Linked DNA regions of Oryctolagus cuniculus. The protein of the gene in region 1 purifies or fractionates together with the protein of each later gene. This does not show direct contact. Links are inferred from orthologs where the notes say so. Each region holds a gene or a part of one and is shown in the gene's direction. Other genes may lie near its edges.

What was found.
Region 2: the proteins of SNRNP200 (region 1) and SF3A1 fractionate together in Homo sapiens (co-fractionation; 3 studies listed by BioGRID and IntAct, with this or other methods). This does not show direct contact. The link is inferred for Oryctolagus cuniculus from reciprocal best matches to the Homo sapiens genes SNRNP200 and SF3A1.
Region 3: the proteins of SNRNP200 (region 1) and U2AF2 fractionate together in Homo sapiens (co-fractionation; 3 studies listed by BioGRID, with this or other methods). This does not show direct contact. The link is inferred for Oryctolagus cuniculus from reciprocal best matches to the Homo sapiens genes SNRNP200 and U2AF2.
Region 4: the proteins of SNRNP200 (region 1) and SF3A2 purify together in Homo sapiens (affinity purification with mass spectrometry; 4 studies listed by BioGRID and IntAct, with this or other methods). This does not show direct contact. The link is inferred for Oryctolagus cuniculus from reciprocal best matches to the Homo sapiens genes SNRNP200 and SF3A2.
Region 5: the proteins of SNRNP200 (region 1) and CD2BP2 purify together in Homo sapiens (affinity purification with mass spectrometry; 8 studies listed by BioGRID and IntAct, counting the BioPlex papers as one, with this or other methods). This does not show direct contact. The link is inferred for Oryctolagus cuniculus from reciprocal best matches to the Homo sapiens genes SNRNP200 and CD2BP2.
Region 6: the proteins of SNRNP200 (region 1) and SNRPA1 fractionate together in Homo sapiens (co-fractionation; 3 studies listed by BioGRID). This does not show direct contact. The link is inferred for Oryctolagus cuniculus from reciprocal best matches to the Homo sapiens genes SNRNP200 and SNRPA1.
Region 7: the proteins of SNRNP200 (region 1) and CDC5L fractionate together in Homo sapiens (co-fractionation; 4 studies listed by BioGRID and IntAct, with this or other methods). This does not show direct contact. The link is inferred for Oryctolagus cuniculus from reciprocal best matches to the Homo sapiens genes SNRNP200 and CDC5L.

The regions. Positions count from the first base shown.
Region 1 is NC_091433.1:111,293,521-111,297,020, forward strand, and holds part of SNRNP200 (U5 small nuclear ribonucleoprotein 200 kDa helicase), read left to right. Parts: coding exon 1-88; intron 89-412; coding exon 413-610; intron 611-984; coding exon 985-1,137; intron 1,138-1,247; coding exon 1,248-1,328; intron 1,329-1,614; coding exon 1,615-1,698; intron 1,699-2,361; coding exon 2,362-2,468; intron 2,469-2,796; coding exon 2,797-2,915; intron 2,916-3,170; coding exon 3,171-3,325; intron 3,326-3,446; coding exon 3,447-3,500. UniProt on the Homo sapiens protein: Catalyzes the ATP-dependent unwinding of U4/U6 RNA duplices, an essential step in the assembly of a catalytically active spliceosome. Plays a role in pre-mRNA splicing as a core component of precatalytic, catalytic and postcatalytic spliceosomal complexes.
Region 2 is NC_091452.1:23,643,511-23,646,076, reverse strand, and holds the end of SF3A1 (splicing factor 3A subunit 1), read left to right. Parts: intron 1-631; coding exon 632-733; intron 734-846; coding exon 847-918; intron 919-1,609; coding exon 1,610-1,711; 3' UTR 1,712-2,066; downstream 2,067-2,566. UniProt on the Homo sapiens protein: Component of the 17S U2 SnRNP complex of the spliceosome, a large ribonucleoprotein complex that removes introns from transcribed pre-mRNAs.
Region 3 is NC_091449.1:3,337,062-3,341,076, reverse strand, and holds the start of U2AF2 (splicing factor U2AF 65 kDa subunit), read left to right. Parts: upstream 1-1,215; 5' UTR 1,216-1,306; coding exon 1,307-1,355; intron 1,356-3,591; coding exon 3,592-3,727; intron 3,728-4,015. UniProt on the Homo sapiens protein: Plays a role in pre-mRNA splicing and 3'-end processing. By recruiting PRPF19 and the PRP19C/Prp19 complex/NTC/Nineteen complex to the RNA polymerase II C-terminal domain (CTD), and thereby pre-mRNA, may couple transcription to splicing.
Region 4 is NC_091447.1:59,110,277-59,114,377, forward strand, and holds the start of SF3A2 (splicing factor 3A subunit 2), read left to right. Parts: upstream 1-1,301; 5' UTR 1,302-1,457; intron 1,458-2,081; exon of another isoform or gene 2,082-2,188; intron 2,189-2,479; 5' UTR 2,480-2,513; coding exon 2,514-2,639; intron 2,640-2,746; coding exon 2,747-2,818; intron 2,819-3,208; coding exon 3,209-3,255; intron 3,256-3,440; coding exon 3,441-3,550; intron 3,551-3,816; coding exon 3,817-3,866; intron 3,867-3,976; coding exon 3,977-4,101. Other genes in the region: PLEKHJ1 (pleckstrin homology domain-containing family J member 1), read right to left, coding at 13-129, 218-281, 412-502, 576-642, 732-799, 878-971. UniProt on the Homo sapiens protein: Component of the 17S U2 SnRNP complex of the spliceosome, a large ribonucleoprotein complex that removes introns from transcribed pre-mRNAs.
Region 5 is NC_091450.1:6,706,452-6,710,592, forward strand, and holds CD2BP2 (CD2 antigen cytoplasmic tail-binding protein 2), read left to right. Parts: upstream 1-1,341; 5' UTR 1,342-1,471; exon of another isoform or gene 1,472-1,616; intron 1,617-1,727; exon of another isoform or gene 1,728-1,996; 5' UTR 1,997-2,022; coding exon 2,023-2,097; intron 2,098-2,260; coding exon 2,261-2,396; intron 2,397-2,502; coding exon 2,503-2,660; intron 2,661-2,782; coding exon 2,783-3,218; intron 3,219-3,304; coding exon 3,305-3,411; intron 3,412-3,500; coding exon 3,501-3,611; 3' UTR 3,612-3,828; downstream 3,829-4,141. Other genes in the region: sesquipedalian-1, read right to left, coding at 1-472. UniProt on the Homo sapiens protein: Involved in pre-mRNA splicing as component of the U5 snRNP complex that is involved in spliceosome assembly.
Region 6 is NC_091443.1:10,490,476-10,494,623, reverse strand, and holds the start of SNRPA1 (U2 small nuclear ribonucleoprotein A'), read left to right. Parts: upstream 1-1,348; 5' UTR 1,349-1,423; coding exon 1,424-1,505; intron 1,506-3,347; coding exon 3,348-3,495; intron 3,496-4,148. UniProt on the Homo sapiens protein: Involved in pre-mRNA splicing as component of the spliceosome. Associated with sn-RNP U2, where it contributes to the binding of stem loop IV of U2 snRNA.
Region 7 is NC_091436.1:125,737,836-125,741,977, reverse strand, and holds the start of CDC5L (cell division cycle 5-like protein), read left to right. Parts: upstream 1-1,342; 5' UTR 1,343-1,680; coding exon 1,681-1,725; intron 1,726-4,142.

The DNA.
Region 1 (3,500 bases):
GCAGCTTCCTATCGAGAGTCAGATGGTGTCAAAGCTGCCGGATATGCTCAATGCAGAGATCGTGCTGGGAAATGTCCAGAATGCAAAGGTAGGAGAGAGCCCTTGGTGCTTCATAAGTGCCTCAGGGAGACTGCGGCGCTGGGGTGCGATGTGCGTCATCATGTGCTTCAGGGCAGCAGTATCCAGGGCCTTCCACTGCCTGCCCCAGTGTCAGCTTCTCAGGTTTGTGACAGATAGTTCTCTTGTTACCAAGAGCTTAGAAAGGACTCTTGTCATTTAATAGTGACGTATTCTAAGTGTTCAGAAAATGCTGTACAGCTTCGTAGTTGGGAATCTCTAAGCGATCCATGGGAGTGTTTCATCTGGACATCAGGAGTTGTCTGTGGTAAGAACCGCAAGCTGTCTCTTACAGGATGCAGTGAACTGGCTGGGCTACGCCTACCTGTACATCCGAATGCTCCGATCCCCTACTCTCTATGGCATCTCTCATGATGACCTTAAGGGAGATCCCCTGCTGGACCAGCGCCGACTGGATCTGGTTCACACTGCTGCCTTGATGCTGGACAAAAACAACCTGGTCAAGTATGATAAGAAGACAGGCAACTTCCAGGTGAGTCGGGTGAGGGTTTTGAGAAGAAGGTCTCAGCAAAAGATGCAGGGTTTTCACATGCCCTCTCTGAGTTCTGCCTGGCAATGATGGGATTGGATTGTAATCTTTGAAACTAGGGATTTCTAAAATATGGCTTCTTTTCCCATAACTTGAGTTAGGTAGATAATTCAGCTGTCTGGTTTGTATGACATCACTTCAATATAGGTCAGTTTATCATGCCGTCTTCATGTTCCTGGGCCAGGCACTTATACTGCCATGAGTTCATCCAGTTGTCCAATTAGAACAGTTACCTTTAAAACACTAACCTGCTGTCCACAGTTGGAGCTTGGAGTTCATTAATCATTGGTGTTTGATCAAGTCTCCCTTGTCTCCAGGTGACAGAACTGGGCCGGATAGCCAGCCACTATTACATTACCAATGATACAGTGCAGACCTACAACCAGTTGCTAAAACCTACCCTGAGTGAGATTGAACTTTTCAGAGTCTTCTCATTGTCTTCAGAGTTCAAGAACATCACCGTGCGAGAGGTGAGCCTGTGCAGCGTGCTGGAATGGGGAGTTGGGATTCACTGACAAGGCGCTTGGTTTCTCTCCTTGGCCACTTGGCTGTTCCTTGACCAATTTGCTCCTTGTGGTAGGAGGAGAAGCTGGAGCTTCAGAAGTTGTTGGAGAGGGTGCCCATTCCTGTAAAGGAAAGCATTGAGGAGCCCAGTGCCAAGGTGAGCCCATCTGCTCTTTGCTTGGGATAAGGATCAGGATATAAGGATCAGTTTGCATAATCTTCCAAAAGTTGAACCTTGAATTTGAGCTTGTGTCTGGTAACCGACTCAGTTCTCCCAGTTTTTGCATCTTTCTCACATTTTTATATGTAGTAACAGTTATTTCTTGTCTGTACATCAAGAGCTGTAGAAGATCTGACCTGGCATGGAGCCAGAGCAGAAAGGTAATTTGCTGCCATGGCTTATTTGTGATTGGCCTCCTGCTGGCCTCTTTGCTTCTTTCCAGATCAATGTGCTTCTCCAAGCCTTCATCTCACAGCTGAAGCTGGAGGGCTTTGCTCTGATGGCTGACATGGTGTATGTTACCCAGGTAAGGGCAGAGTTGTGCTGAGGCTGTGAGAAGGGGGCAAACATTCTCAGTCATTTGTGTGCTGTGGGTGTTGTGGGGAAAGGAAGCCCGGCGCTAGTGAGTTAGAAGGAATGCTTTGCTCTGCCTGGATTGACTAGTTGGTTAATGCATATGTGGTATAGCTACTCTGTTGTACTGCTCCTGAACACGTGGGACAGGTTAGGCTCTCAGAGGGAACGCTAGGAGACTGCATCTGCCTTCAGAAAGAGGGCAGTCCATAGGACACAATGTCCACTTCCAACAGAGAAGGGATTTGCCACTGCAGCTGCAGAGCTCTTACATCAAACAATTTTCTTAGCTATCCTTTGTCTTCACCATTAAGGGTAGGTCACCAGTTCCTTCACTTACGTTGGAATCCTAAATGCTAAGTAAGTCAGAAGCCTTAAAATCATGCAGTGCATGTTAGATTAAGATGTGCTGTGACTTTGAGCTGCACTTTCCTAACTGGTCTGCATTCAACAAGCATCTACCTTCTAGAAAGGAGAAAGCAGTGACTCCACAGGGGCGAGTTTCTGGGCTGGTATGAGTGATTGCATCAGAGCTGAAGGCGGTTAAACCATGGGTAGAGTAGCTTCACAAGGCCCAGGGATGATGGAGACATAACTGGGAATCTTCTTTCCCCAGTCGGCTGGCCGGTTGATGCGGGCGATTTTTGAAATTGTCCTGAACCGAGGTTGGGCACAGCTTACGGACAAGACTTTGAACCTCTGCAAGATGATTGACAAGCGCATGTAAGGGCCCAGCAAGCCTGAGGCTGATCACTGTAGGGGTCCCAGACTGAATGCATTGGAGTGCATCTGATCTCTAGTCCTGATACTTACAGGGTGACGTGAACCCGGGTGAAAGTTAAGGAGAAGGAAAGCCCTCTGGGGGGCTGGGTGTAGTGGGGACAGCAGTCACTGTTGACTCTCAGGTCTCACTGCTGTCACAGTTTCCAGTGTCTTTCTCTGATGAGAAAGTATCTTGTGAGGTTGGGGCTAACCTGTTGGAAATGACAATGAGGGCAATTTGCTACGGTCCTACAGAGGGGACCAACAACTTTGTCGCCTTCCTGGGCAGGTGGCAGTCGATGTGTCCTCTGCGCCAGTTCCGGAAACTCCCTGAGGAAGTAGTGAAGAAGATTGAGAAGAAAAACTTTCCCTTTGAGCGTCTGTATGATCTGAATCATAATGAGATAGGTGTGTGAGAAGCTCTCATCCTCTGGTCCTCACAGCCCGGGCTTCTTTCTTAGCCTTCACTCTCCAGTTCCTGGGGCTTGTGCCAATGACCTGTGTTCATTTCCCACATCCCCTTGAACTATAGGCCAGCTCTTGGTCTTGGGCTCCACAGAGTAAAGGGGGTGAGCCTACCCTTTTCCCACAGTGGTCTTCAGCCTAGTTTATAGATAGGCTAGTATGGCTGGGTTGCAGCCCTTATTTCTCATTTCTTCCTAGGTGAGCTTATCCGCATGCCGAAGATGGGGAAGACTATCCACAAATACGTCCACCTGTTTCCCAAACTGGAGTTGTCAGTGCACTTGCAGCCCATCACACGTTCCACCCTGAAAGTGGAGCTGACTATCACACCAGATTTCCAGTGGGATGAAAAAGTAAGGCTTTGCTGGGAGGTGGGGAGGGGGAGGGACAGGGGCAGGGAGATGGTGAGGGAGCTGGACCCGAGGTGCTGAGGTCCCACCAGGCTCAAGTCCTTTTACCTGTTTGTGCTGGCAGGTCCACGGTTCATCAGAGGCATTCTGGATTCTGGTGGAGGATGTGGACAGTGAG
Region 2 (2,566 bases), on another chromosome or scaffold:
GACACCTGAAGCAAGCCCGGGTGTGGTTCATGAACTCAGTGTGGCCTTTCCTGCAGTCCTCGCCCTTGCTGGGGTGCTAGAGTAAAGGAAGGTGGGAACCGTGGTGCTGCTGCACCCCAGGGAAGCTGCTGGGCTCCAGTGAGGAGGCGAGAAACAGCCGCAGCCCCTGACGGCTCAGTGCGTTTGACCAAATCTTCTGTTTTCGTTCTTAAGAGAGTCCTGTTTTGGGCACTTAGCGAAGTGCAAGGGTGGAGCTCACCTTGGGACACTTTTCCGTGTGGGGCTCACCGCAGGGCTCTGCTGTCGCTCTGATCAGCTCTGTTGTACAGGCAGGCTGAGACCTTATGAGCCGAGTTGGGAATCAGGTCTGGATTTTACAGGCCACTTTTTTTTACACTTGTGCTTCTTGGGTGTCACAGAGCATTTTTACCCAACCTCTTCATTTCAGCTCTAGACTCGCAGGAGGACTTGAAAACAGAAAGCACATCTTGATATGGGAGTGTGACTTGTACAATATGACAAGTGTGTCAGTAGAGAATCAGGCCAGAGCCAGGTGCCCTCAGGATGGCAGAACATAGTTCCTGATTGGCTCAGGGGTCCCCAGGCATAATGATCCCCTTCTGTTTTGCAGGGTCCAGTGTCCATCAAAGTCCAGGTGCCCAACATGCAGGATAAGACGGAATGGAAGCTGAATGGGCAGGTGCTGGTCTTCACCCTGCCTCTCACAGACCAGGTAGGGGTTGCTGCCACCAGCGGTATCACGTGCATGGGGACCAAGGGTTCAAGGGACAGCTTCCTTCTGCTGGCCTTTGCAAGGGCACGAATGACCTCTCCTTGGCCCCACAGGTCTCTGTCATCAAAGTGAAGATTCACGAAGCTACAGGCATGCCTGCAGGGAAACAGAAACTGCAGTACGAGGTGCGTCAGAGCGTGCCAGTCCCTTCCCTTAGGTCCCAACACTGCTGTGCCAGAAGCTAAGTCCCCCATGCACAGGGAGATGGGCAGTGATCCTCTGAGTTGTCCCAGAAGTGAAGGTGCTGGCGGGGGTGCCAGAGCTGGAGAGCGTGCCAGTGTGAGGCTCCGGCAGTCCATCTTGTGTGGAGTCCAGGGAACCCTCTGCCCCGAGCACTGGGGACAGGATCTGGGGGTGTGCCTCGGGAGTGCTGTGCTAGGTCATGGACCCAGAGCTGAGGCCATCCCAGCCAGGGCGACCTCAGGTGGTGTAGTCCAGCCTTGCCTGCTTCCTGGTGGGTCACATAGTCGTGCTGTGTTCACCCTTTTGGACTTGACCAAATCCCGCCTTGGGCTTCAGTTTCCTCCTGCAAAGCGAGGCTGTTGCTCAGGTGATCTCCAAAGGTCTCCATGGCCTTGGTCGGGCAGTTTCTTGGGAAGTTGAGCTTTGAGCCAAACATTGACAAAGGGGAAGAGCGTCCATCAGTTGATTGGAAGGAAGGAAAAAGCATTTTGGGTAGAGCCAGAGCCCTTCAGTCCCTTGTCCCCCGCCTTCCCTCAAGCCCTCATGTTTGCTAGGTGTGCCATGCAGATGGACAGGCCACGTTGTGTGTCCAAGGCCAGGGACCTCACGCCAAGGCGCACTGTCTCTTTCCAGGGCATCTTCATCAAGGATTCCAACTCGCTGGCTTACTACAACATGGCCAATGGCGCCATCATCCACCTGGCCCTCAAGGAGAGAGGCGGCAGGAAGAAGTAGAAGAGAGAAACCTGCTGTCAGGTCCCTGCTGTTTTGTGTCTCCTGTCCCCCACTCCAGTCCTAGACACACAGGCCCTCTCTGGACATTCAGAATGTCCTGCCGCATTTCATTCCCCGGACTCCTTCCCATGTTAGTAATAGTAGCAAGACTTTTGAAGCTACTCCCTGGGATCCCATTGTGTTAGGGTCTTGATTTGAAGGCACTCGTTAGTTGGAGCTGAGATCCAGGGATGGCGTACAGGATAGGTGCATTGTGCCAAGAGGCACTTGACTGATTGAGTATGGCTTTTATGGTCGTTAATGAGTTTCGTATTTTGCTGTGGTCTAATAAACTTCTTGGATCTTTCTTGTGAAATCGGTGTAATGAGACTTGTCTCTTGGCCCGCGTGCCCTGTGCACACTCCAGGCAGTGGGAACTTGGCACAGCGCCACGTGGCTCCTCTCTGCTCTAAGGATTCCCAGGGTTTATAACTTACCACCATCATATCTTTCGTGTAATAGAATCTCCTTATGCTTTTCAGAAGTGTTTTATTGTGTTGTCCTTGGAAAACACTGGAGTCCTACAAAGGTGTAGCCCAGTGTGCTTAACCGATTCACACAGGATGCCTTCGGCATGCCATGGCCCACAGAACAAGGATGGTGATGTGGCTCTTGGTCCATGGGGAGCAGTGACACATGCAGGCCAGGGTCACCCATCACCTGACTGATTCTGTGACCCTGGGTAAGTGCCTTGCCTGGTGAGAGCACAGGGATATGGAGAGATTTCTTTAAAATGTATTTATTTATTCAGAAGTCAGGGCAACAGGGAGAGAAAGAAATCTTTCATTGGCTGGTTCACTCCCCAAAATGGCCACA
Region 3 (4,015 bases), on another chromosome or scaffold:
GAGGGGAAGCGAGGGGTTGGGGAGCACAGGGTGGGGCGAGCCCCCCGGGGGCGGCGCCGTGCGTTAGCGGCGCGGGGCCCGACGACCCCCGGCATGGGCGGTCCCCGGGCGCGGCGCGGCGTGGCACGGCGGCCGTCTGCCGCCAGGGGGCAGCAGCGCGACGTTGGCCGCGTCCCGGAAGTGGTGCTTCCACCGCCTTCCACGCGTGCGCGCGGCGGCAGGGGTGCGAGAGCGCGGACGCAGTTGCCAAGACAACCGGGAGCGGGCGGTCGTGCTTAACGGTCGGGAACTCGGACTCCTTTTAGGCAGGGAAAGCCTCGCGCACGCGCAGTGGGGGCCCTGGAACCCGACACCGCCACCCCGCCTCAGACCGACCTCCGCGCAGCCGCAATAGCCCGCCTCAGCCCCTGCGCAGGCGCGCAGAGCCGCGCTGGCAACCTCCGCAGCGGCCGCGCGCGCCCTCCAGCCCGAAGGCTGCTGCTGCCTCGCGCAGCCGCCTCAGGCGCTCCGGAGAGTCGGCCCTTCCTTCCTTCCTCTCTCCCATCGGGAGAGCCAGGTGCCGAGAGCCCGGACCCCGCCCCCTTCTCTGGACCCGGGCCCCGGACCCACCTCGCCTCCGTCCTCCCTCCCTTTTCGGTTCCCGCCGCCGGAAGGAGCCGAAGCGCCGCCGGAGAGAGCCGAAGCCGCTTCCGTGAGGGAGGGGCTTCCCGAAGCCGCGGCGGAAGGAGCCGAAGCTCTCCGGTAGGGGAGGAGTGCGCGAGCGGACTCTCCGGAAAGAGCCGAAGCCTCTGGCGAGCGCCGAAACCCTCGGAAAGGTCGTCGGCAGTGGCCGATTGCTTAGGCGGGTCCGGCGGAGCAGCGCGGCGGATCTGCAGAGGGAGAGACTGGGGCGGTTGGAATTGTCGGGAGGAGCCGAACCCGCGGAGAGGGCTCTGCGCCGAGGGACGCGAGGACCCGCGAACACAGCCGGACGGCGAGGCGCTGACTTCCGGAAAGTTACGGAAACCCGAGACGCCGGCCAGGTCCTCGCTTCGGGCGTTTTCGGAAACCGCCGAGGCCGACCGTCCGGAAAGAGCCGACGCGCTTCGGAGCCAGGCTCGGGGGCGGGGCTCGCGGGGGTCGGGCGGGGCGAGGGGCGGAGCCTGGGCGGGGCGGGCTGCCGGGGCTTGATTAGGTAGGAGGCGGTACAGCGCCGGCGGCGGCCGGAAGTAGCCGAAGCTAGCGGCGGAAGTAGCCGAAGCGGCCGGAGCGGGCGGGCGGCGAGGCGAGGCGAGCGCTGCACAGGGCCCGACGCGGCCGCCTCAGCATGTCGGACTTCGACGAGTTCGAGCGGCAGCTCAACGAGAATAAACAAGGTGAGGGCGCCGGGGTGGCGGGGCGGCGCGGGAGGGGTGGCTCCTCGCTTGGCTCCTCGGCCCCCGCCATTTTCCCCCTCGTTTCCCATTCCTCGGCGCCGCGCGATCCACCCCCCCTCCCGCGGCGCGCCTCGCTCACGTGACCGCCCGCGGCGCGGCGAGGGGCAGGGGCGGCGGGCGCGGGCCCGTGGCGCATGCGCACGGCGCCCGCCCGCGCCCACGTGGTCCCCGCGGAGGTGGCGAAGGGGGACGCGGCGCGCTGGCGCCGGAGTCGTCGACCCTAGCTCTGCTCGCTCTCTCCCTTTCTTGGCAAAGACGATTAGTATGTTAGATCCTGTAATCCCCTTCTTTTTCGCCCGCTGCTGCAACTCTTCCGCTTCCGGTTGTGCCGGGGCTGCGTCTCCACGCCCCCTTTGTTTCAAAATGGCGGTCTCGGGGACGGCCCCCTCCCCCTCGCGTGGACCGGGGCCCCTAGCTGGGCCTCCTGCGTGTCCGCGCGGAGGTGGGACGGCGCGGCTGCGGGCCGAGGCAGGCAGTGCCCGGCAGCGCCCCGCCGCCCGGGGCTGCGTGCCCGCTTCTCGCGTTCGGCGAGAGTGAGGGCGCCGGGAGCAGCGGAGGTCCAGGGGCCCAGGCCCGAGCTGGGGCGGGGGTGGACGGAGCCCGCCCCTCCCGCGGCCTGCCTGCCGCCTGAGTACCGAGGGTGCGGTGTTCTTTGCTAATGTTTCTGGCTGTAGAGATTCCTCATGGGGCGAGCGAGCCCCGCTGCAGGGAAGCTGCGCCCCTCGCTGGGGGCCGGCGCTTTGTTCGGTCCGCCCGCGTTTCCTCGCGAGCACGGCCCGGGTCCCCCCGCTGCGGGAGGGGCTCGGAGGGCGGACACGGAGTCGGGCGAGCCGGGCCGGCTGCCCTCCCGCCGTCGGCTAGGCCCTCGGCGCACCTGGCGCGCGGGGCGGGACGGCGCCTGCTCGAGCCAAGTTCCGGTCGCGTTCGCGTGGCGTCCTGCGGTCAGCGGGGAGGAGCTGGCGCGGAGTCCGGCAGGTGTGCGGCGCCTCCTCCGGGGCCCACGTGTGCCCCGTGCCGTGCGTGGGTCTTTGTCCCAGCGCGCCAGTCTCCCTGCGTCTCTTGGCGACCTGTGCCTAGGGGATTTCCTTGTTTGCGTCCGGGCGCCCCGCGGGCGTCCCTTTCCTGCGCGCTGCTGAGCCTCGGCGGCGGGACGCCTCCTGGGCCGGTCCCCGTGGGCAGCAGAGCTGCTGGGGCCGGCGCCCGGCGCCCGCGCGGTGCTCGCGTGCTGGCTGCGGGCCGGCGCCCTCGTCTCTGTCTTCCGCACCCCAGCGGGGTTTCTCTGTCTTTGCCTTCCGCGGAGGGAGTGTCGTCGTGCAGGTTGGAGGCGGACTGTCTGCTCCGCCGGCCCCGTGTCCAGCAGTGGCGGGTGCAGGCTGCTGGCGCGCGTCCCGGCCGCCCGTCCTGTGGCCGAGCCTGGGTGCAGGTTCTGGCTGGGGATGCAGGCGGTGCTCCCGGTTGTGCGTGCTTGAGCGTGCGTGGTTGGGGGCAGAGCACGCGCAGCCACGTTGGACAGTGTGTGACACGGAGGCCACGGGGGCGTGGACCTGTCCTGCGCTGCGTGTGGTGGCCCGGTCGGGCCCGTGCCGGGGCGCGCGGTGTCCTGCGGAGGTCCTGGCGGGACCTGGAGTCCCTGGTCCTCGCCCCGAGGGGATGGAGGCATATTGGTCCCGCGTGGCCTGCCTGCAGGAGAGGGATGACTCGAGCGTCCTGCATCCGGGCACATCACATCACGCCTGGCTCCGTGCTCCTGGGCCGGACGTGGGGGGCTGTGGGTGCCAGCCGGTGCCCGCGTCTTTCCTGAGGGGTCGCTGGGTCCCTTCAGGAAAGCATCATTGGGTCTCTTGATTCCCCAGCGTCTAGCCCTGCCCCTCTCAGGGACGACCCTGGGGTCAGGCCCCTCAGCCCTCGAGGGGGACCAGGAGCCAGCCTCCTCTGTCTTCTCTGGCTCCTCAGCCCTTGAGCATCCGCAGGTATCTTCACCCCCGGGGCACTAGCAGGCCCTGTCCGCGGTCCCCTCTGCTGTGGACCCAGGAGGCCTCTTCTCTCCCTTCCTCCTGCAGTCCCTGCCCTTGGGGGTGGCCTCCCTGGGTCTTGGGCGTAGCCACCAGCGTGCAGGGTGGGCTGGGCCCGCGTCCTCCCTCCACTCAGCCCAGCCCCTGCCTCTCGCCTTGCGCAGAGAGGGACAAGGAGAACCGGCACCGGAAGCGCAGTCATAGCCGCTCGCGAAGCCGGGACCGCAAGCGCCGGAGCCGGAGCCGGGACCGGCGCAACCGAGACCAGCGGAGCGCCTCGCGGGACAGGCGGCGGCGAAGGTGCCCGGGCCAGCCTGGGTGTGGGGGGCGTCTGGGTGGCCCCACAGCCTGCGTGGCCTCGTGTCTGTCGGGTGGGGACCAGCTCTCCGCCGAGTCTGGCGTTTCTTTCACTTCCCCGCTGGCGGTGCTGGGGGCTGCGGGTTCTGTCTGCCCCGACCCCGAGGGCTCTCCTTACAGAGACGACTTGATGAAGGGCGGGCCGGGGGCTCTTGTCCTTGGCTGCCACGCTTGGGGCTGGTCCAGGCCAAGGCTAGGACCCCGAAACTCCATCCTGGCCTCCCCGTGGGT
Region 4 (4,101 bases), on another chromosome or scaffold:
GCCGGGCCGGGGTCAGTCCAGCGCGTCCAGCCCGGGCCCGGGCCCGGTGCCCGCCGGCCGCCCGTCGCTGGGCGGGCTGCTGATCTGGAAGCGGGCCTCCGCGGAGATCCCGAACTGCTCCAGGGGGTCCTAGGGCGGCGGGCGGGGAGACGCGGTGACCCGGGGCCCGGGGCCGGGAGCCCCGCCCGCCCGGCCGCCCCGCACGCGCCCCCCGCACCTTGCCCGTCATCTTCTGGATCTCATTCCGGTAGAAGATGAGGCTCCTCCGCATGACCTCGTAGCTGCGGGAGAGGCCGTGCCCGCGGGGTCAGGCCGCCGCCCCCGCCGCGCCCGCCGCGCCCGCCGCCCCCGTCGCGCCCGCCGCGCCCGCCGCGCCCGCCGCCCCCGCCGCCCCCGCCGCCCCGGCCCCACCTGGCCCTGCGCAGCGCCTCCGTCCACTGCCGGCACTGCTCCTCGCTGCCGCACTCGAACACGTACTTCCTCTCCGGGTCCTCCAGGAAGCCTGCGGGAGCGGCCGCTGTGGGTGCCCGCGCCCGCCCCGCGCCCGCGCCGCCCCGCCCGGCCCGCGCACTCACCGATGGAGAAGCTCCGCGCCTCCTCCTGGGCGACCCGGCAGCGCTCCAGCAAGAGGGCTCCGACGGGCTGCGGGCACACGCGCCGTGAGCGGGGCCGCCCCGCGCCCGCGCGCCCCGCGCCGCGCCCCGCCCCCGCGCCCCGCGCCCCGCGCCCACCTCGGCCTCGTCCGTGCGGAAGTAGAAGAGGAAGTTCACCACCAGCTTCACCAGGCGCCGCTTCAGCACTGCGGGCACACAGCGGGCTCAGGGCGGCCGCGCGCCCCCGCGCCCCCGCGCCCCCGCCCGCGCCCGCGCCCGCTCACCGCTGCCCTTCTTGGGGCCCCGCATGCCCAGCTCAGCCGCCATCTCGGCCGGCTGCCGGGACAGCGCCTGCAGCTCCTTCTCGTTGTAGCGCATGGCGCCGGCGCTGCCCGGGACCGGGAACGCGCGCTGCTAGCTCTGAGCCCTCTCGGCCGCCGTCCCCGCTCGCGCCAGAAAGATCCCAGGTCGGAGCCCCGGAAGCGCCATTGCGCCTGCGCGCCACGGGCGAGTCTTGCGCGCTGCGACCGCGGCGTGCTGGGGCGTGGGTACACGCCGGGCAGCCGCGACACAGCCGCGGAATAAAGTGGGTCTGAGGCGCAAGCAGGATCGAAGGACCGCCGAGCGCGGGCGGACGGGGCGTTACCGGTTCCCGCCCCCGCCCCCAAGAGCCGACGCGGGTGCGCGCGCGGAGCGCGTTGTGCGCAGGCGCGCCTCGGGCACGCGCATGCGCACACTCGAGGGCCCGTCCTCCCTCCGGAAGTGCTGCGAGCGCCCGCGCCGCGCGTGCGCACTGCGACGTCGTGGCGGCGGCTCCTGAGGCGGACGGCGGAGGCCTGCGACGCGGGGCGCGACCCACACGAAGTAGGCGCGGGGGCCATCGGGGCCCCGGGGCGCCCAGGGTGGGCTGGGGGCGCGGGAGGGAGGGGCCGGGGCGGGCGGCGGGCCCCACGGCGACCCCGGCCCTCCGGAACTCCGCGGCGGGCGTCGCGGGGGTCGCGGGGGTCTCGCGTCCGTCCGGGGCGGGCTCCGGGGTCCGGGGAGCGGCCGCGGGCCTTCGGCTGCTCGGCGGGGCGGGCCCGGGCCGCGGGGCCGCGCGCGGGGGTGCGTGCCGGCGTTCCCGCCAAAAGCCGCCGGGACCCCCGAGGCCGCCCCCGCTGGCGCCTTTGTCGTCGTGGGGGTCGGTCGCGGGCGCCCGGGGGGCTGCGGGGCGTCCCGGGTGCGGACGGCGATGCGGCTGCGTCTTAGATTTCCCTCCCGCAAGCCTGCGTGCCCGGGGCCGCGTCTTCCCCTCGGTCCGCTGTCCGACTGTCCCTTCGCGTGGTTCCCCCTCCCCCAGCCCTGAGGTCCTGGGTTCGCGTCCCGATGGAGGGGCTGTGGGGCCGCCAGGGCTCGTGCGTGGACCGCGGGCGGGCCCGGGTCGCCCTGGGGTCAGCCGGGGGCGGCTCGTGCGTGGACCGCGGGCGGGCCCGGTAGCGCCCTGGGGTCAGCCGGGCCGCCCGCGCCGTGCCCGGAAGTCGGGGTCGCAGGGGCGGGGTCTCCTCCCGCCGGTCCAGTCCCCGGAGGCCGGGCCGGGCCGGGCCGGGTCAGAGCAGGTGCGGGGCCCGGGCCGGCAGCCAGGACTCGGGCCAGTGCCCGAATGGGGCCCGAGCGGCCCCTGCCGTCCACGGGGAGGCCCAGCCCTGGCTTAGGGGCATTGGGGAGTGGACGGCGGGGGGGCGCCAGGCGGTCGTCCGCGCCCCCGTTCTCCCCGACGCCCGCGGCTGGGCCCGGCGGCTGACACGGGAGAGCCCGCGTGGGTGCGCCCGGGAGGGGCTGGGGGCTGCCTCCTGGGGTCTCCGGCCCCCGCCGCGTCCTGAGGGCCCCCCCCGGTCTGGGCTCCGCAGGCTTCTCCGGCGCTGAGGTCCGCAGGCCGGCACCATGGACTTCCAGCACCGCCCCGGCGGCAAGACCGGGAGTGGGGGCGTGGCCTCCTCCTCCGAGAGCAACCGGGACCGCCGCGAGCGCCTGCGGCAGCTGGCCCTGGAGACCATCGACATCAACAAGGTAGGGCCGCCCGCCCGCCCCCCCGCGGGGCGCCCCCGACGCCCCCGACGCGCCCGACGCCCCCGACGCCCCTGACGCCCCTGACGCCCCGCGCCGCTCTCCCCCAGGACCCCTACTTCATGAAGAACCACCTGGGCTCCTACGAGTGCAAGCTGTGCCTGACCCTGCACAACAACGAGGTACTGGCCGGCCTGGTACCCTGCCCCCGCCCCTGCCTGCCCCCGCCCCGCCCACCGGCCGGCCTGAACCCCTCGCCCCCGCCCCGCCCACCGGCCGGCCTGGCCCCCCCCCTCCACCGGCCGGCCTGATCCCCCCCCTTCCCGCCCTGTCCACTGGCCGGCCTGGTCCCCCGCTCCTGCCTGCCACCGGCCTGGCCCCGCCCCCAGCCGGCCTGATCCCCCCGCCCCCGGCCTGACCCCCGCCTGCCGCTGCCCCACCCCCCGGCCGGCTTGGTCCCCCCCTCCCGCCCTGTCCACTGTTCGGCCTGGTCCTCCCCCACCCCGCCTGCCGCTACCCCGCCCACCGGCCTGGCCCCGCCCCCGGCCTCATGTCCCGCCTCCTCCACGCAGGGCAGCTACCTCGCACACACTCAAGGGAAGAAGCATCAGACCAACTTGTGAGTGCCCCCCGCGCCCCCCGGCTGTGACACGGGGGAGGGCCCCTTGACCCGCCCCCCAGCCGCAGGGCCCCGCCCCTCACCCCCCCCGCGGGAGCCCAAGGCCGGGCAGGGGGGCTCCTGCACCTGCGCCCGTGGCCTTGGCCTGGTGTGGAGGACCACAGCGCCCGTCTGCCCCGCCCCAGGGCCCGGCGCGCAGCCAAGGAGGCCAAGGAGGCGCCCGCCCAGCCCGCGCCCGAGAAGGTCAAGGTGGAGGTGAAGAAGTTCGTGAAGATCGGACGCCCTGGCTACAAAGGTGAGGGGGCGGGGCCGCCCGACACCAGCCCTGGGCGGGGGGGGGGGGGCAGGCGGGGACAGGCGAGGCCCTGGGCAGGGAGGGGCAGGCGGGGACAGGCGAGGCCGTGGGGCTGTGGGCAGGCGGGGTCCTGGGCACGGAGGGGCAGGCGGGGCTGTGGCGTGCAGCCCTGGGCCGGCCCTCTGAGCTGGGACCTGGGCCTCACCTGCCGCCCTGGGCGGGACGTGGGGCTGCGGGGGGGCCCCTCACCGGCCCTGGTGTTGCAGTGACCAAGCAGCGGGACACGGAGATGGGCCAGCAGAGCCTGCTCTTCCAGGTGGGCGGGGCCGCGGGGTCGGGGGGGGGGCCGCGGGGGCGGGGCCGGGTGGGGGCTGCGGGGGCGGGGGGCAGTGGGGGCTGGGGGCCCCTGACACTGCCCGCCCGCAGATCGACTACCCCGAGATCGCCGAGGGCATCACCCCCCGGCACCGCTTCATGTCGGCCTACGAGCAGAGGATCGAGCCCCCGGACCGGCGCTGGCAGTACCTGCTGATGGCCGCCGAGCCCTACGA
Region 5 (4,141 bases), on another chromosome or scaffold:
CGAGGATGGCTAGAAAGCCACAGTCCTCGGCGGGGCACCTGGGTTCTTGGCCAGCCGCCTGGCAGAGCTCCCGGTACTGGGCCTCCATGGGGGGAAGCAGCCTAGCCAGCCGCCTCCAGCTCACCCCGGCCAGCGCCCACAGCCAAGCCCTCAGCTCCTCCTGGCTTTCTGCGGCCAGCTTGTAGGCCCGCCCCCCTGTGCCCTCTCCCCCGGGGGTCACGATGGTGAAGGCGAAGGGCTCTGCGGCCTTAAGGCGAGGCTCCACCCGGCAGCTCTCCAACAGGATGAGGCCCAGGGGAGTGTGGGCTTCCTGGTGTTCCAGGTAGAAGAGGAGGTTTCCACGGAGGACAAACCAGCGGCGCTGGTAGCTGCTGTTTCGGGCCCCCTTCTTCAGCAAGATGCCCTCCTGGTCTGGGGCCTGGGCTCTGCAGCCTTGGAAGAAACTGAGCACAGACTTGCGGTGCAGTTTCATGGTGGTGGCCCTGGAGGGACCCTGGGGGAGAGAGGAGTGGTCCCCTGGTTGCCTGGGAGGATGCTCACGCCCTCCTAGCTCCAGCAGGCTCTGCCTGGGCACAGTCTTGGCCTGCACACCCTTGGGCGTTAGCTGTCTTGTCCCACCACCCAGGGCCAGGCCCGCCCACCTCCCCGCCTCAAATCCCATCACCTAGGCAGGGTCGCTGGGCCCTGATTGCTAAGGGGGCGGGGGCTTCATCCCACCGCTGTGGTGCCGGAGGGACCATTGCCCTTTCCTAGGCCTACCTGAGAGCAGGCACAGGGGCTTCTGGGCTGGCCACAGGGCACCCGCGACAATGCCACCTCTGCAGCAGTGGCTGCCCCGCCTCAGAAATCAGGAACTGGCTCCGCGGACAGGCGTGGAGCACGTGATTTCCCCTGGGTCCTAAAGGCGGCTGGGTTCTGAAAGTGTCCCAAGTGCCCTCAGAGGCCATCAGGTGAGCCTGGCTTCCCTTAGGGAGAAGAGCAGGGCCGCGCCTCACGCTAGGAGAGGGCGCAGCTCTGACAAGTGTAAGGCACTTGGCCAGTCTGCGGGAAACGGTGGTGCGAACCCCGGAAGGGGCACCTGGGGCTGGAACCCATCGGCTCTGCTCCTCCTCTGCCCCTCCATCCTGACCCTGGGCTCCCCTCTAAGTGGAGTTGCATCCCCCAGAGGCTGCGTGAGGGCATCGAAGCCACTTCGGGGCATCCTCCGCGCCGATCAGGGTCTAGGCGCCCGCACACTCCTCGCCGCTGCAGACCCGCGCGGCTCACGTCACTCCTGGCGGGGGACAGGGTTGGAGGTTGCCGCCTAGCTCACTACCTACTTCCGCCCGCTCTTCCTGTTAGTCCTTCAAGTGGAGTGAAGCCACTTCCGGCCTCCGCCGTACGCTTCCGGGTGATGGCGGCCAGGTGCCCCGGATACAGCCCTGGTGAAAGCATCTCTCCTTTTCTTCCCCTGCCTCCCCTAGATCCCCAGGTGAGCGCGCGCGGGGCTGGCTGCCGGAGTCCCCGTGGCTGTGCCGCCCTCTAATCTGTACACACCCCGGGACAGTTGGGGGGTCAACCACGTGGAATTGGGAGTTCGGCGCGAGGAGGAGGAGCAGAGCGGCCGGGAGCGCCAGGTCCTGGGTCGGCCCGGGCCCCGCGGGCTCCGAGGGCTTTGGGGTTGCGGGAGCGGGTGTGTGTGCCCGCCGAGCCCGGTAGCGCTCAGACTGCGGAGGCCGGATATGGGCGTGGTCACGTGGGGGAGCCGGGCCCCTGTCGTCGGGGTGGGGATACTCCCCGCGTCTGGCCTGGCGTCCCAGCTCCGTTAGCTCTGGGATGGCGAGCCGAGGCCGTGGGAGCCTCCGGGCTGCAGCTCCCGCTCTGGCCCCCGATTCTCTGTGCTCTTCCCTCCCAATGGACCTGGCACGCACCAGGAAGCGTGTCCTGTGGCCAGGGTTCTCTTGCAGTGGGTGGCCTCCCGCTCAGGCCGCTTCCTCTGCAACTTTTCCCCCATCAGGTTAAGGGAAGCCCCCCTGGCCCGTCATGCCAAAGCGGAAAGTGACCTTCCAAGGCGTGGGAGACGAGGATGAGGATGAAGTCAGTGTTCCCAGGAAGAAGGTGAGGGGGCCAGACCGTTTTGTTGGGGGGAGGGGAGGCAGAGCGGAGCCTGAAGAGGAGGGCAGGTCCCCCAGGACTGGGTTTGGAGGGTGCTCAGCTTGGGTGCAGATGCTGGAGTCTGGGAGGAGCTGAGAATTCTGCATTTCTCCCTTCCTGCTCTCAGCTGGTGGACCCCGTGACTGGGCCCGGGGGTCCCGGGAGCCGCTTCAAAGGCAAGCACTCCTTGGACAGCGATGAAGAGGATGATGACGACGAGGGGTCCAGCAAGTATGACATCCTGGCCTCAGAGGATGTGGAAGGTGAGTAGCACCCAGGGAGGGACGAGTGGGGACTTGAGGGAGGGAGGTTCCTGTCTCTCTCTTTTTTTTGCATGCCTCGCATGGGGCGACTCTGTCTCTGATGCAGGTCAGGAAGCAGCCACGCTCCCCAGTGAGGGAGGGGTGCGCATCACTCCCTTCAACCTGCAGGAGGAGATGGAGGAAGGCCACTTTGATGCCGATGGCAACTACTTCCTGAACCGGGACGCTCAAATCCAGGACAGCTGGCTGGACAATATTGATTGGGTGCGGCCCAGGGCTCAGCACGGCTGGGGTGGGGTGGGGGGGCTGGATCTGGGCTCCTGGAGCAGGTTTGTAGGAAACAACCCCCTGCAGCCCCCGACCCTGACCCCTTTCTTGCATTCTAGGTGAAGATCAGGGAGCGGCCCCCGGATCAGCGCCGGGCTTCAGACTCGGAGGAGGAGGACAGCCTGGGCCAGACACCACTGAGCGCCCAAGCCCTCCTCGAGGGACTTCTAGAGCTGCTGCTGCCCAGGGAGACAGTGGCCGGGGCACTGAGGCGGCTGGGGGCCCGAGGAGGGGGCAAAGGGAACAGCAAGGGGCCCGGGCGGCCCAGTTCCCCCCAGCGCCTGGACCGGCTGTCTGGGTTGGCTGACCAGATGGTGGCCCGGGGCAACCTTGGCGTTTACCAGGAAACTCGAGAGCGCCTGGCCATGCGGCTGAAGGGGTTGGGGTGTCGGACCCAGGGGGCCCAGGATTCCACGCCCCCGCCCTCCCTGGACATGTTTGCGGAGGAGGTGGCTGAGGGGGAGCTGGAGACCCCGACCCCTCCCCAGAGAGAAGGTGAGCTTTGGAGGGCAGAGGAGGGGCAGCGGTGTGGACTGGAGGCCGGGCAGTGGAGCTCCAATCGGCTCCGCCTCTGGTTGCAGAGGCAGAGTCGGCGGGCGACGGCCTGGTGGACGTGATGTGGGAATATAAGTGGGAGAACACCGGGGAGGCCGAGCTCTACGGACCCTTCACCAGTGCCCAGATGCAGGTGAGCGCCCCCCCCCCTCCCCCGCACGCCCCGCCCCACCCCCGGCCCGCCCCGCCCCGCCGTGTCAGCCCCGCCCTGTCTACCTGCAGACCTGGGTGAGCGAAGGCTACTTCCCAGACGGAGTCTACTGCCGGAAGCTGGATCCCCCGGGTGGTCAGTTCTACAACTCCAAACGCATCGACTTCGACCTCTACACCTGAGCCTGCGGAGGGCCCAGTTGGGCGCCCCCCCCACCTCCCCCGTTCTCTGCTGGACTTTGGGGGAGCCGGCCCCCAGCTGCCTTGGGCAGGGAGAAGATTGGAGGCTACTTTTCAATTTCTGTTTTTCCCAATAAAATGCCTTTAGTGGTGTGCGAGGGCCTCGGCTGTGCTGACGGCCAGGAGCCGGGGGCCGTCTCCACAGCCCTTCAGACTGTTATGTGTTTGTACGCTTTTTCCTCTGCCGTGGTCTCTCCCCGGTGCCTTGAACCCTCCTCACCTTCGTTTCCCGCCTCCCTGACTGGCAGGTGTCCTGTGTGGGCCCCGCCCTGATCTGCGCCTGCGCGGGCTTCTCGCTGTGCTGACCTCGCCTCCTCTGTCCTCACAGCCGCTGGGGACCTGAGCCCCGGGCCCAGGAATTGCAGGTGTTAGTGGGACGTCTCGAAGACCAAGGATGAGCAGGAATTCTCTTTTTTTTAATTTTTTTAAAAAAGATTTATTTATTTATTTGAAAGTCAGAATTACACAGAGAG
Region 6 (4,148 bases), on another chromosome or scaffold:
CATCCTAGCAGGGGCTACCCGACTGTGTTTTGTTCTGTGCCTGGCGACATTACCCTCGATCGCCTGATTAGGGCCTTTCCCCTTGGTTGGCTGAGAAACGGTGCCTGCCAAAGAGGGTCCACTGTCACCACTGCTCCATGCCGTGCTGCAGGTCCCAGCCAGTGTGAACAGGGATCCAAAAAGAAAAAGCCAAAGAAAGAGCAAGTAAAATACAAGGGGCTGGCTGTGTCCCGTGGGTTTCACTGCCGCCTGCATCCCATGTGGGCTCTGGTTGGAGTCCCAGCTGCTCCACTTCCGATCCAGCTCCCTGCTAACGCACCTGGGAGAGCAGCAGAGGATGGGCCAAGAGCTTGTTCCCTGCACCAGTGGGGGAGTCCTGGAAGAAGCTCCTGGCTCCTGGCTCGGGCCTGGGCCATCCCCAGCCGTTCTGGCCATTTGGGGAGTGAATCAGTGGATGGAAGATTCTCTCCTTCTCTGTCTCTCCCTTTCAAATAAATAAATCTTAACAAAACGAACAAAAAGATAGGGTCTGGCACTGTGGCGTAGCAGGTAGAGCCGCTGTCTGAAGCCCCGGCTGCTCCACTTCCGACCCAGCTCTCTGCTCTGGCCTGGGAAAGCAGTGGAAGATGGCCCAGTGCCTGGGCCCCTGCACCCGCGTGGGAGACCTGGATGGAGCTCCTGGCTCCGATGGGACCAGCCCCAGCCGTTGCCGACACTTGGGGAGTGACCCAGTGGATGGGAGGTCTCATGCTGTCTCGGTGACTCTCTCAAATAAATAAATCTTTTTATATATATAAAAAAAAGTTAGTTAAAAATGGAATTTCTGTAAATGGCCTTTACAGTACCATCCAAAAAACTACAAATATCTAGAGCTGCAGGCGCGGGCCGAGCCTGCGGGGAGAGGGCGGCGGCGGCCACGCGCGTCACGGGGCAGGCTGCAGGACGCACGCTTCCAGTCTCTCAAGGTCGGGAGACCCCCGCGGGCCTACCGCAACCCCACCAGACCCGGGCTTGACTCCCGGGGCCGGCCCCGCCGGCGCCAAGCGGCCACGCACACCCTCGCTCCCACTGCGCGATGCCCTAGTGTGAGAGAGGTCCGCGGGGCTCTTCCCCCGGTTTTCCTAACTTTCGGACCCAGACGTCTAGAAGCGGGGCCCCCCACCCCCACCCCACCCCACCCGACCCGACTCCAGAAAGCCCCGGGCGGAGAACCCCGCGCCCGGCCCGTCCCCAACGCCAGCACGGAGCGCCGGCCGAGACGACCTCCCGGGGAGGCGTGGCTCTTCGATTGCTTCGGGCTGGCGGTCGATCTGCGATTGGTGCGGCCTGGCGGCGGCGCGGGGCATGCCGGGACGTGTGCTCCGCGCGCGGCGGCAGCGGCAGGCGGGGGCGGCGGCGGCGCGGGGCGGCTGGCGGCGGCAGCATGGTGAAGCTGACGGCGGAGCTGATCGAGCAGGCGGCGCAGTACACCAACGCCGTGCGGGACCGCGAGCTGGACCTCCGCGGTGAGTGCGGGGGGCGCGCGCCGCGGCCTCGCGGCCGTCCCGCCGGCGGAGCCTCGAGCTGGCTTCCGGCCCGGCGCGTAGCGTCGCGCGGGCCTCGCGGGCGGGAAGGCGGCCCCGGCGGGCGGGAAGGCGGCCCCGGCGGGCGGGAGCTGCTGGGCTGGGATCCGGGCGGGAGGAGGCGGGGCCCCGATGGTTTCTCACCCGATCGTTCCCTTCCGGGAAGCGGCCTTGAGGTGGAGCCGTCTCGCCGAGCCTGGGCGCGTGGGGCGCTCTAGAGGCGTCGGCCCGGACTCGGCTTCCCGGGGATGGGGGCCGGGCTCGGCTTCCCGGGGATGGGGGCCGGGCTCTGGGGGCGTCGGCCCGGACTCGGCTTCCCGGGGATGGGGGGCGGGGGCCCCGGACTCGACTTCCCGGGGATGAGGTCGGGCTCTGGGGGCGTCGGCCTAGACTCTGCTTCCCGGGGATGGGGGCCGGGCTCGGTTTCCCGGGGCGGGGCCGGGCTCTGGGGGCGGGGGCCCCGGACTCGGCTTCCCGGGGATGGGGGGCGGGGGCCCCGGACTCGGCTTCCCGGGGATGGGAGGCGGGGGCCTCAGACTCGGCTTCCCGGGGATGGGAGGCGGGGGCCGGGCTCTGGGGGCGGGGGCTCCGGGCTCTGGGGGCGGGGGCCCGGACTCTGCTTCCCGGGGATGGGGGCCGGGCTCTGGGGGCGGGGGCTCCGGGCTCGGCTTCCCGGGCTCTGGGGGCGTCGGCCCGGACTCGGCTTCCCGGGGATGGGAGGCGGGGGCCGGGCTCTGGGGACGGGGGCCCCGGACTCGGCTTCCAGGGGATGGGGGCCGGGCTCTGGGGGCGGGGGCCCCGGACTCGGCTTCCCGGGGATGGGAGGCGGGGGCCGGGCTCTGGGGGCGGGGGCCCCGGACTCGGCTTCCCGGGGATGGGGGGCGGGGGCCCCGGACTCGGCTTCCCGGGGGTGAGACTGCGGCGCTGGCCGGAGGTTGCCCGCGGGCGCCCGTTGGCTGTGCTCGCGGCCTGGACTCCCCGCTGACCTTCGGGGGAAGCCCCGGAGCTGCTATTTTGTAGCGAAAGGCTCGGTCCGAGAGCAAGCCGCCCCTTGGGCCGCTCCCAGGTCTGGTGGGCGCGCCGTGCTGAGCAGCTCTGGATTGGAAACGGCCTGGCCGCGGCCCTTCCCTCCTCCGCTGGGCACCGAGCGCAGCAGTAGGCCCCGGTTAGAGCGGTGGGCTTTCGGGCGAATTGTTCACAGGGCGTCGCCTTCAGGTCTGGATTGGCGCTGGGGAGGTGAAATAAAGGGCTGTGGTGACGGCATGAGCGCGTCCCGGGAGCCTAAGGGCTGTAGTGGCGTCATGAGGGTGTCCGGAGAGCCTGTGGACTCTGGTGACGTCATGAGCGTCCCGGGGAGCCTGTAGACTGGTGACGTCATGAGCGTCCCCGGGAGCATGTGGGCTCTGGTGGCGTCATGAGCGTCCCCGGGAGCATGTGGACTGTGGTGACGTCACGAGCGTGTCCGGGGAGCCTGTGGGAGAGGTTGGGGACCGTTGACAGTAGGGCCTGGGCCTACTGCAGCGGAAGGCGAACCGTTGGGCGGCCCCGCCAGCGTTCTTCGGAGCCTCGTCAGGCGCCCCTCACGCACGTCCTTGCCGTCAGCCTCGCGCGTCCGCAGCTGGAGCCGAGCCTCGCGGCGCCGGGGACTCGAGACCGCCCGCTCTCGTGTGCGGTGGGTGCGCGCAGTGTTCCTCACTGGCAGGTGTGGGTGCTGGACACCGCCGGCGGCCCGAGGGCCCTTCGGGTCCTGTTCATGCCTCTCCCGCCCCGCCCTTCTGTCCGCAGGGTATAAAATTCCTGTCATTGAAAACCTGGGTGCTACCTTGGACCAGTTTGATGCTATCGATTTTTCCGACAATGAGATCAGGAAGCTGGATGGGTTTCCTCTGCTGAGAAGACTGAAAACGTTGTTGGTGAACAACAACAGGATATGGTGAGTGCGCCGGAACAGCGTGGCCTTTTCTCCGCTGCTCGCTCCTGAGAAGCTGTAGTGAGGCCGGGTAGACCTACTTGATTCCAGGGTTCTGCGGGCACCTCCTGCAGCAGGAGGCCTGGCCAGCCGGAGCTGGGAGCTGGAGCCGGCCGGATGGCTGCTGTGGGTGCGTGCGCTGTCACCAGCCCCTGGGGCCTGCAGCAGCAGCAGAGCTGGCATTGGCGCCACAGCTGGGCGTTTAACCCGGGCGCTCGAGTGTGGAGCGCAGTGTCTAACTGCCTGGCTCACACCTGTGAGCCAGTCTTCTTCGAATGAGAGATGGGGTGCAGCTTTCCAGGGATCCAGGGGTTACTTTGACATTGGCCTAGGCGTATTTGCATATGTTCAGAAATATTTACATATTCATAATTTCTAATTAAAAGTGTGCTGTTTTGTACATGTTTTGGCTTCTAAAATAGTTATCAAAGGGATTGTATAAAAAGCTTTATAAAGCTCAGTAATTGTGTTTTTATCACATGTCTACCTCCTGCCTTCTGCTTTACTTTTCTTCAGTTAAACTGGTTTCTAGAAGATTTGCTGAAATTGGGATCGTTTTAGCCCTTAAGCTCTGTGTAAATTTTATTGGAAAAAATTTATTGGCTACTTGTAGAGAA
Region 7 (4,142 bases), on another chromosome or scaffold:
AGTTGCTGAACACATAGGGAGATCAAGTACACATTGGGAGTTATGAGAAAAATATTTGACTAAATACACAGAATATAAAGTATAGTCATTCTAAAGACACTACATTGTGGGGCTGGTGCTGTGGCATAGTAGGCTAAGCCTCTGCCTGTGGTGCCAGCATCACATATGGGCTCTGGTTCTTGTCCCTGCTGCTCCTCTTCCAGTCCAGCTCTCTGCTATGGCCTGGGAAAGCAATAGAAGATGGGTCCCTGCACCCGCGTGGAAGACCCGGAAGAAGCTCCTGGCTCCTGCTTTCTGATCGGCCCAGCTCCCACCATTGCAGCCATTTGGGGAGTGAACCAGTGGATGGAAGACCTCTCTTGCCCTCTCTGTCTGTAAAGCTACCTCTCAAAAAATAAATTTAAAAAAAATCTTAAAAATATCCTGTTGTATCTGAATAATTTTTATGCCAACAAATGACATCAGCATTATTAAAAACACCTAAAAAGTTCCCATTTCAAGATAAAAAAATTATCAGAACATTCTGTAGTTTTTCCAGAAGACGCAAATGGAGAAATGAAAAAACCTAAAGAGCAAGGCACTATATAAAGACCCAGGACTTTCCTCATCCATTAACTAAATATTTTCATATTTCCTAGGACTGGCGTCAAAGCGATGTTCTGAAATGGGAAAGATGTCTGAGTAACTCGGAAGTGGGGTGGCGGAGAGCTGGACAACCCTTATCCAAGGTTAGGTTTTGGTTTGTCACAGCTAATCCTGCCCCTCCGATTGCTGAAGCCGGTGTTGCTGGCTCCACTTTTCAGACGAGCACTCTGAGATTCAGCACGGGTATTACCCACGCTGACGAGACAGCCAAGATTCCGGCCCAACTCGAGTCCGGCTCCCTTAATACCAGCGCCCATAATGGTCTTTGTTATTAATTCACACAGACTGAATGGCGATGGATGAAAGACGCTGAGGGGACATCGGTGGGGGCTTCCGGGACAGCCGCTGCGCCCCTCCCCGGGGGCAGGTGGAGGCGCTGCCCTCCTTGGAATCGCAGCGGCGCTTTTTGGGAACAGTCGTCTGTCAGACCCTGCACTCCGCTGAGGACCTCACTTCTTAGCAGAACCCCACTGGGTGGGGGCTATTATTACTACTCTGTATTACAGGTTGGGAAACTGAGCCGCAGATAAGCTGTTCTCTTCCTCCTGCGTACTCGACTAGCGAAACGCTCAATAAAGCGCTAGTTCGCGACGCTTTCTCCGGACCGGCTACTCTGCAAGGCCACACACAACCCGTCTGCACCCCCACCGCCGAGTGACGTCACGATGACCAACCCCACCGCGACGCCGGGCCGGCCGCCGCTGCGGATGTCTCGCGAGAGCCATGGCTTCCTCCAGCCTGACTTGGACATGCGCGCGGCGCACGGCGCTACGGCCACAGCAGTTTGATGGTTTTCTGTCAGTCTGTACACTAGAGCTTTGAGAAAGCACTTCTAACCTTTCAGCCTCCCGAGATATCGCGAGACTTGCTATTCTGCCACCGCCCCCCCCGCCACCTCCTTGCGCCTGCGCAGATCTCTTCAAAGCAGAAGGTCGCGCTTGGAGGAAGTGGCGGCTTTGGGTCCCGTGACCGGAGCGCCGTTACTACTTTTCTGAAGCTCCTCTCGGCCGCTTGCCGAGACCACCTGTCGCCAAGATGCCTCGAATTATGATCAAGGGCGGCGTGTGGAGAAATACCGAGGTGAGTCTCTTTTCCCGCCGTCCGCTGCCCTCCGCCCCCTCCGGCAGCTTGTGCGCACGCGCGCGCGCGGGGGCCGGGGAGCGGACGAGGATGCCCTGCGGGGTCTGCGTGGGGTGGGCCGGGCCGCGCAGCGCCAGGGCCGACGACCCTCGGCGCCTCAGCGCTGTTCCCCGCCAGGGGTGACGGGAGCGCCCCAAGGACCGGCGGCTCGGCTCCGAGCTCACCGTCAGGCACTTGTTAGGCCCTTAGCGAACATTTGTTGAGTCGAGGCCGCGCCGCCCCGGCCCCCTTTCCCCGAGGTCCCCACTGGGTGGCAGGAGGGGTGGGACATCCAGGAGAGGTGATCTTCCGGGACGCTACCCCCCCTCAGCTCGCGGCTGTCTCTGGCACCCCAAAACTAAAGAACTTGGTGCAGCCACAACTTTGTTTCTTCGCTGACTTCTTGCAGAGAGGGGAAGCAGCTTGCATACCGAGTTCTCGGCGCCCGTTTCTCCTGCATCCGTCGGTTTATCCGTCAGCCAGGCACAGCCTGTGCGCGCTCTCCCGACAGATGCCAAGGCCTGTCTCTCTCTTAGCTTCCCGTCTCTCCGCCTTGGCATGGCTTGAAGCCAGATAGGACAGACTGCTGCGGGTAGTGTCGTAGTGGATCGTGCCATCTGAGAGCCGGAGAGCAGTAGAAAGGGAGCAAGACAGAAATGAGATTTGAGTGCGTTTCGTGTCGAGTGCCCTGGATCGATCAGTTTCTGAGCACGGCTTATCTCGTGTCTTTTATTACCTCTGTGCCTCCTTGCGGTATCCTCGACCCGCTTGGCATCCTCCTGACCTGGTTCAGAAGCCCTTGGCGGCCAAATCTTCGCCTGTTCAGCCTGTGAGCGTTGGTAGCACCCCCCTGTGGGCCCACGGTGCCTGTCATCCACTTGTTGTCGGCTTGCTTTGACTTTTGCCAGTGTCACATCCTTGGGAGTGATGCTGGCAGGTTTCTCCATTTCTCCAAGCCTTAGATTCCTCATGTTTCTGTGGGGATTAAGTGAGCTGCCACATTTGGGACATTTGGAACAGTCGGGAACACAGTAGCCTTTCAGCCAGTGCTAGGCACCTCTTACCTCTCCAGACAGCACTGGGGGAGGGGAGGGGAACAGGTCCTGCTCTTCCTGGAGCACAGGAGAGTAACCAGCGTGAAGTAGTAGGTTGCTTGGCAGATGTTTGTGGAATGCATCTCGGCGGGTACGCGGGACGTAGCTGTGATCTAAGTATTAGAGGTGCAGCACCACGTGACAGATGAAGGCAGTGCAAGTCCCCTCCCTTGTGCTGAGGGAACTAGGCTGTTTGAATGGAGAGGAGTTGACTTGTGAGGGAGAGACCCGTGAAAAAATCAAGTAGTAGCAGGATTCCTGTGCTACGGTCAAATCTGCTGACAGATTTCTACAGTTGGCTGTGGAACAGAGCCTGCAAGTGAAATGTCTCAAGTGCATTCACATCTGGCTCCATCGTCCTCCGCGCCAGTGGCTTGGCTTGCCAGGCTGCTCTGGGATTGGTACATTCCGTGTTTGGGTGGCAGCCCTGGTGAAATAGTATCTAGAGTCTGGGGGAGACTGGAGAGAGATGACTTGGGAGGGGTTGTGGAGAGAAATATTTGAATCTCAGGTTAGAACTGAGATATGGTCTAATCTGAGATGTGGATTCTTGGGTCGTGGTGGGGCGGATGGGGCTGGGGAGGAAAGGCCGTGCTTGAACTGGAGGCAGGAAGTGTGAATTGGAGAGTGGTTTCATCTGAGTCCCAACTTGCTTTTTGAGGCCTGGATGTGTCCTATTCGATTCTCTCCCCAAGTATACAAGACCTGGTGCAAGGCAAGTGTTCAGGAAGTGTTTTCTGAGTGAAGGTGTAAATGAATGAGCTGTGCCTGCTTGAAGAATGACAGCCACATATTGGAGAATACTTTTTGTTAATCTCTGTCCGAAAGTAGGGTTGCTCAGAGGTGGTTGTTCCCACACACAATTGGGTGTGTGTTTATAAGGAACAGTAAGATGTCCTAAGGAATTTCTTAATTTCTTGCATTTTGCTGGTTGCTTACTGTTTATCATTATGGTCAGTGAGGTTTTTTGTGTGTTTAAAAATTCTTATTTCTTAAGTACATTTGAAATATTTATTTTTTTAAAAGATTTATTTTTTATTTGTTTGAAAGAGCGATGGGGGTAGGGAGGTGGCAGGGAGAAGAGATCTTCCATTTGCTGGTTCACGCTAGGCCAGGAGCCAGGAACTCCATCTAGGTCTCCCATGTGGGTGGCAGGGGCCCAAGCACTGGGGCTGTCTTGCACTGCCTTCTGAGGCACATTTAGCAGGGTGCTGGATTAGAAGTGGAGCAGGTGGGACCTGAACTGATGCTCCAAGATACAAGATTCCAGCATTGCAAATAGAG